Oryctolagus cuniculus: one gene and its partner. The protein of the gene in region 2 purifies or fractionates together with the protein of the main gene of each other region. This does not show direct contact. Links are inferred from orthologs where the notes say so. Each region holds a gene or a part of one and is shown on either strand. Other genes may lie near its edges.

Region 1 (4,084 bases), on a different chromosome or scaffold from region 2:
CTCTTCAAAGTCTGACTGGGTTTCGGAGGAATCTGAAACACTTAGAGCCAAACCACCAAGCCGCATCCCCAGGTAAAGCACCCCCAAAATGTGGCATTTCCGTGGGAAACCACAGTGATTCACTCGCACGGGCCATCCAGTCTGTCTGTGCAGAGGTTGACTGCTTTTCCCCAAGCTTCTGAAACCCAGCGTGATTTTCAAACACCCCCTGCCCCAGCCCCACGTCCTGACTCCCAGGTTCAGGGCAAACGCCCACATTTGCGGGAGTTTCAGATTTCACCAGAAGGGGGTCCGGCCCCAGCTACTAACCTTTTCCTCTGCAGAGAGCAGTTGCCGAAATGCTGCAAAGAAGAATAATCACCCAATCGTTAGGAGGAAACACCGCTGGCTGCCTCTGGCTCTGTAAGTTGGCACAGATAAGCCCGGGGCACACCCCACAAGTTAAAGTCCTCTTTTCTCTCGAGTCGCTGCACGGCAATAGCAAGAATAGCATGGCTAAACACTTGGTTTCCAAATCGAACCTCTGTCTTATTTGAGGACATTGAGGCTCGGAGAAGTGACTCAAGGTTACCACAGGGGGAAGAAAAAAGGTAGAGCCATCTGCATCCCGGATCAGGGACCCCAGCCCTCACGATGCTGTCCACACTACCACTACTTGTGCACCGGGCAACATGAAGAAAACTGCAGGGACAAAGCGAGGCGAAGTCATTTCTTTGATCAAAACTGGGGAGCAAACCTCACAGCACCGGAGTGAGGCTGAGGTCCTCTGGCGCTGTTCCGGCCTTGGACAGGCACCTCCCAAGGCCAAGGTTTTCCGGGGATAAATCCCACCCCTTCCACCGCCCGGCGAGGCGCAGGGAAGCCAGCGGGGGAGAGGGGACCCGGGGGCAGGACGCCCGCCGCCGCAGGGGAGCCGGAGACCCCGCGCGTCCCCAGCCGCTGCGGCCACTGCGCCCCGGTGCCTGCGTGCCGGCGGGCCAAGGGTTAAGTGAGGCGGGAGCCCCCGGCGCGGAGCGGCCCGGGCCGGGAATGCTTAGTCAGGATTCCGATTTCCTGTCGAAGTGTTTGGATTTCCTGAAACCCGCGCCCTCCGCCGCCGAGCGGGATCGTGCGAGCCGCTCGCGCCGCCGCCTCCTCCCCCTTGCACATGGTCGCCCGCCCCTTCCTGCGCCGCGCTCGGCTCCCGCGCCTCGCCTCGCCTCGCCGCCGCCGCGGGCGGCCACTCTGCGCTCGGGCAGCCCGGCCCGCGCCTCCCGCCCCGCCGGCTGTCCGCCGGCCGCAGCCCGGTTCCGACCCGAGAGCCGCGAACGCCCGGCCGAGGGCTGCCGGGGCGCGGGCGTGTGCGCCGCCGCTGGGGAGCCGGCGCCGAGCCCGCGATGGAATAATGCCCAGCCGCCCGCCCGGTCCCGGTGAGTTGCGGGCACCCGGGCGGGCTTGGCGGGGCCGGGCGGGCTGGCCCGCGGTCGCTTGACCCCGCGCTCGGCGGGGCCGGGCCGGGGCGCCGGGTGGGCTGGCGGGTCCTTTCCCGGAGAGGCGTCCCGCTCTGGCGGGGTCGGAGCGGGGAGGAGGGCAGTGTGCTGTGCGCACGGCCGCGCTCTGCAGGGCCGCCGAGGCCGCCCAGGGGCTCCGCGTCCCCGGCTCGGGAGAGGGGGCCTGGGCTGCGCGCGCGGGAGCCCCGGCTCTGCAGAGGCGCCGCGATGGGGGCGGGGGCCGCCCTGGGTGGCTGGGCGCCCCCTTCCTCGAGGGAGGCCGGGGCAGCGCGCCTGGCGCCGGGGACCCCGCCGTGGGGGCGCCCTCCGGCGCGGAGGCGCGGGCGCTTGGCCGCGGCATTGTCTCTCTGGCGTGGTCGGGAAAGTTCCCCGCCCGGACACGGCGCTGCCACGCAGGCCCTAGGCCACTTGCTCCAAACCAGAGAAAGGAAACGAAGGGAAAAGTGAGGGGAAATTTCCCCCGTGGGGCTCGGCGTCTCCTCGCGGGAAGTACAGGGTGGTGTGTTCCGCTTGGATCACTTGGGGGACCTGCTGCTTTTGCTGAAAGCAACAAGAAGTTTAAAAGAAAGAAACTCGCGGGCGTCCGGCGGCTTCTCCCGCACGCCCTAAGCGGTTTCTCCAGTCATGCAGCGGGCCCCGTGGGCCACTGCTGGCCGGCGTTAACTTGACCTCAGCCTTGGCTGTCCCTGTCAGGGGAACCCCGACTCCCTCTCCCTTGGCGCACCCTCCCCCACCAGGTCTGCCCAGCGGGGTTGTCTAGGCACAGTTGATTCTGGGATGACCACAGGACCGGGATTGTAAAACCACGTTTAGGCCGGCTGTATGTCTGTTGGACATACACCTCGCCCCGAGGCGTTCACGCTTGGCGATTTGAGGGCTGCTGGGTGGCAGGCGTTACGTCCAGTCTGGGGACGTCCATGCAACAGTCTGAACCTTGAGAACAACCGTGTCAGCTTCTTGTTGTTCCACAGATGAGGGCCAGGGAGCCGACCTGAGTTGCCTATGGCCACGGTCAATGGCTAGTGGGTGGCAAGGCCAGGACTGGTTTCTGAGTCTTGGAACCGAACCCTGTGCCTGCATCGCATTAAGGTCTGCAGCCATGGGCAGGATTGAACAGAGGTGCGTGCCTTGCCGCCCTCACCTGTGTGGCGCCTTCTGTTCTCTCTTACCTGTCCCTGCTGTTTGTGAGACGTTCCGTTATCTCAAAATTCGTATTTGAGGAGGAGGGTTAAAAAATTGCCCAACGCTTACTGTTCAACCTCCAGATGGACCTGAAATACAAATGGGTGGCTTATTACATGGGAAGTTACCTTTCTCCATCCCATTCTTTTGTGGAAAATTGAAAGCTCTCAAGTCCACAATAAGGGCGGTGTCGTAGCACGTAGCGTACCCTATGATGTTCTCTGGGGTTCATTTCCAGCACTCCTCTTTCTTGTGAGCTAAGCCATCCATCTATTTTTCTTCTCACGAGAGCGCTGATGGCTGGGTTTTTGTTTTTAGTAGGTGATCATGTTGAGAGAAAGGACTTTTTTTTTTTTTTTTTTGCAAGCTTGCCATTTGGTGAAAGAAATTGAAATTCACTCCACCTCTCCAGTCCTTACAAGCCGCACTGAGCCAGATTTTCACAATTGCTGTGAGCCTTGCAGACCAAGGATGGATGTGTGCATTCAGATCAAGTCCTGTGTGGAAGAAGGGAACTCGTGTTCGCTGGGGCAGCTGCTCCAGCATCGTCCCTATCGACTCATCCCTCGTGTTTGAGCGGATCCTACCCACCCCATCCCTCCTTGTTTCTGGACCTCACTTCTCTCCTGTCCACTATATCTGGCATGGGCTCAAGAATGAATGAATAATCTCCACACAGGCAATAGTGACAGTAACAGCTGGCATTTGTTGAGTAATTGCTGGATGCCCTAGACTCTTTTTAAGAAATACATATATTTATTTATTTGAAAGGCAGAGAGAGAGAGAGAGAGAGAGAGAGATTGATTGAGAGATTGAGAGATTGAGTTTCCATCCGCTGGTTCACTTCTCAGGTAGCTGCAATGGCTGAGGCTGGGCCAGGCAGAATTCAGGGGCCAGGAGCTTCTTCCTGGTTTGCTTTGTGGTTGCAGGTACCCAAGCATTTGGGCCATCTCCCGCTGCTTTCCCAGGCCCGTTAGCGGGGAGCTGGATTGGAAGAGGAGCAGCTGAGACTTGAACTGTCGCCCATGTGGGATGCCAGTGCCACAGGCAGCAGTTTTATCTGCTATAATGTAGCGCTGGCCCTTCCTTGCCCTAGGCTCTTAAAGAAGTCCCTTGGAGGAGAGGAACCCCTTTGAGAGGCGTGTCCAGAAAAGACTGCACTTTTCAGATTTATCTGGAATTGAGTCACTCTTCCTTGTGTCCAGTAAACATTTGCTAAGTGTCTGTCTCCCTGGAGGAGGCACCGGTCAGTCAGAGAGGAAGAGCATGGTGTTTCCAAGGCTTTCTCATTCCAGCGTCATCTTTCAGTGTCAGCCTCACAATTTTAATAATCAATTCAGCAAGCATGTATTGAGCACCTGCTCCCTGGGAAGCCCCCCTTGTGCGTCCTGATGAGACAATGATGAACAACA
Region 2 (3,516 bases):
AGCAGAGAGCTGGCCTGGAAGAGGGGCAACCGGGACAGAATCCGGCGCCCCAACCGGGACTAGAACCCGGTGTGCCGGCGCCGCAAGGTGGAGGATTAGCCTATTGAGCCACGGCGCCGGCTTAATGCTGTTCTTAAATTAGGAAATTAACTTGTATAATTGGGTAATTAAAAATATTTTTAAGCTCCGTAATAATTTTCATGATCCTTTGGAAAATAAAGAGTAAAATACTAATGTGGCATCACTGTGTAGGTCTAACTTCATAAAGACTCCTCCCTGGTGCGTATTGGAGCTAAGAGCTCAGCACCTGGCTCTTGGAAGGCGCTCACTACTTATTATCATCCGTGAGCTTTTCTGGGAAAGTGAAGGAAAGTGTGATGTCATCATGAAAAGTTACGTTCTTCTCAACTCTCACATCTGATAGTTGCGTCTGACTACTTAGTGTGTGCTCCAGTCCTAAGTTACTGAACAGTGTAGCTTAGTTGGAGTCAAAGTGGTTTTTTAGTTTTTTTTTTTTTTTTTTTTTTTTTTAATTTATTTGAAAGAGTTACAGAGAGAGGTAGAGACAGAGAGAGAGAGGTCTTTCATCTGCTGGTTCACTCCCCAGATGGCTGTAACGGCCAGAGCTGTGCTGATCCGAAGCCAGGAGTCAGAAGCCTCTTCCTGGTCTCCCACGCAGGTGCAGGGGCCCAAGGACATGGGCCATCTTCTACTGCTTTCCCAGGCCACAGCAGAGAGCTGGATGGGAACAGAAGCAGCCAGGACTAGAACCAGCGCCCATATGGGATGCTGGCAGTTCAGGCCAGGGCGTTAACCTGCTGCACCACAGCACTGGCCCCAGAGTGACAGTGTTTTAATACACTGCTAGACAGACACACGTGTACTTTTAGAAGTTTGAGATTTGAAGAAAAAACCTGAGCTGTATGCTGTTTGTGAGTAAATATCAAATCCAGATTATATTTACTTTTTTGTGCATTCTCTTCCTTTCCTTAAACAAAATAGCTACGTCCGTGCAGCGAGCCGAATAAAGCCAGAATGTGGCACATCATCCTGTCTGAGAGGTGAACCCCACTGAGTCAACATGGCTGACAGGGGGAAGCTGGTTCCAGGACAAGTGTATATCGAAGTGGAATATGACTATGAGTATGAAGCGAAGGACAGGAAGATCGTGATCAAGCAGGGCGAGCGGTACATGTTGGTGAAAAAGACCAACGACGACTGGTGGCAGGTCAAGCCGGATGAGAGCTCCAAAGCCTTCTACGTGCCAGCCCAGTACGTGAAGGAGGTCACGCGAAAAGCTCTGATGCCGCCCGTTAAGCCGCCGGTGGGACTGCCCAGCAATTCCGTAAAGATGATACAGAGTCTGCCCCTGCAGAGGTCGACAGAAAATGTGAACAAGCTGCCCGAGCTCTCGAGCTTCGGAAAGCCGGCGTCCGTTCAAGGAACCGGTCTCGTCCGTGATGCCAATCAGAATTTCGGACCCAGTTACAATGCAGGTCAGACCCTCAACCTCAGCCTGGACCTGACCCACAATAACGGGAAGTTCACCCATGACTCTCACTCTCCTAAAGTGCCCAGCCAGAACAGGACACGCTTATTCGGTCACTTTCCCGGCCCGGAGTTCCTGGACGTGGAGAAAACGAGCTTCTCCCAGGAGCAGTCGTGTGATTCTGCGGGAGAAGGCTCGGAAAAGGTCCACCAGGACTCGGAGTCCGGGGACGAGCTGAGCAGCAGCTCCACTGAGCAGATCAGGGTAAGCGGAAACCGAGATGCAGCCCCGCGCCTCCTTAATAAAAGTCATGGATTCTTCTCGTAATTAAGGTCTTTGTAGGCCTTAAGACTTGCGTGTTGCTCGGGATTTTCAGGACACGTGGGCCTTATCCTGATTTAGAGCTAGACAATAGGTGACGTAACTTGTGGAGCTCCTAGAGGCCACCTTGTGGCTTTTGCGATTCTTCTCGCACCCCTGCAGAGCTGGCGCACTGTAGATCAGTGTGGACGGCTTTTCTGTATGTAGACTGCGCATGAAGCAGAAAGGACTGCTTTATACAGCGATGGCTTTTCTTTCACTGGGAAAGGCTTTACTGTGTCTGGCAGTACTCTTCCGGACTTGCTTGCAGTAGTTGCTGGGTGATAGTATGTAGATGAGGAAAGACGTCACCAGACTGTTGACATTTGTTCTGTGGAACTTGTTTATTAACCTTGAGTGCCAAAAAAAAAAAAAAAAATAGCTCATGCCCCTTTATCTTCATTCATGTGCTTTTGTGTCTGAAGTGTCATTATTCAGAATTGATGGCATTGAATTATTAGCCCAGAAACAATCTTGCATCCGTCATTTTTTTATATGATTTTTTTCATTATGCAACTTTCTTTTGAGATTAGATCTATGCCAGTTTATTTCTCAAGTGATGGGAAGTCATTTTAAAAAAAATCGTGTGGGGGGCTGGTGCCGGGGCTCACTTGGTTAATCCTCCGCCTGCAGTGCCGGCACCCCAAGTTCTAGTCCCGGTTGGGGCACCGGATTCTGTCCCGGTTGCTCCTCTTCCAGTCCAGCTCTCTGCTGTGGCCCAGGAAGGCAGTGGAGGATGGCCCAAGTGCTTGGGTCCTGCACCCACATGGGAGACCAGGAGGAAGCACCCGGCTCCTGGCTTCGGATCAGTGCAGTGCTGACCATAGCAGCCATTTAGGGGGGTGAACCAATGGAAGGAAGACCTTTCTCTCTGTCTATCTCTCTCTCTATAACTCTACCTGTCAAAAAAAAAAAAAAAAAAGTGTGAAATCCAAACTTGGACATATTTGGAAATGTCCCATTTTAAGTGAGTTTAATAATTAGTGACTTTTGGCCTCAGACTCTGTTGTCAGATTCCTCATCAGGTTAAGGCCGTGAATAACCGTGAGGCTGGTCGTAGGTGTGGTCTGAATGCCGTGCAAGTACATTCTTTCCGTGGGCTGTAATTTGTAACACTTGGGGATGGAAATAGGGAAAAGGGGAGATTGTCTAGAGAAACTTCTGGTGTTTGCTTGTGACCAGGGCGGCTCCGCAGAGTCGCACCGTCAGTTTCGTCCTCGTCGTCTTCCCAGGCCTGTCTTCAGTCTGTGTGATGCTCAGACGCGGAGTACGTGGTGCTTGCTGGCTCCTTGTGCACCTGACGGGCCTTGGAAGCACACGTGTCTTCTGTTCCTTCCAGCCATCACCACCGCTTCCTACTTGACGTTATGTTAGTGACATACGCCAGCTGTTCCGTACCCTCTTCCTGCTTGCCATCTCACGTCCATGGCACTGGAGGTTCATGGCTCCTGACCTCTCCTGGGGCCTTAACACTCTTGCAGGAAGTCCTCCTGGATTTCCCAAGCCAGCCCCGTTTCCAGCTCTGCAGGGCAACTGCGTGAAACCCGGGCTGTTTCCTTTTTTCACGTGTTTTACCCTGCTCCTAGCAGATAGCCCTGCCTTCTGCCTCACCGTCAGAATAGAAGCTGTGGCGTGGGAGCGCCTTTGGCCTTGGGGAGCGCGTGCTT

Evidence for each region. The genes of interacting proteins can lie anywhere in the genome.
Region 1: the proteins of ARHGAP12 (region 2) and ASAP1 purify together in Homo sapiens (co-immunoprecipitation; 3 studies listed by BioGRID and IntAct, with this or other methods). This does not show direct contact. The link is inferred for Oryctolagus cuniculus from reciprocal best matches to the Homo sapiens genes ARHGAP12 and ASAP1.

The regions. Positions count from the first base shown.
Region 1 is NC_091437.1:156,098,500-156,102,583, reverse strand, and holds the start of ASAP1 (arf-GAP with SH3 domain, ANK repeat and PH domain-containing protein 1), read left to right. Parts: upstream 1-1,270; 5' UTR 1,271-1,409; intron 1,410-4,084. UniProt on the Homo sapiens protein: Possesses phosphatidylinositol 4,5-bisphosphate-dependent GTPase-activating protein activity for ARF1 (ADP ribosylation factor 1) and ARF5 and a lesser activity towards ARF6.
Region 2 is NC_091444.1:102,358,547-102,362,062, reverse strand, and holds part of ARHGAP12 (rho GTPase-activating protein 12), read left to right. Parts: intron 1-1,002; 5' UTR 1,003-1,081; coding exon 1,082-1,753; intron 1,754-3,516. UniProt on the Homo sapiens protein: GTPase activator for the Rho-type GTPases by converting them to an inactive GDP-bound state.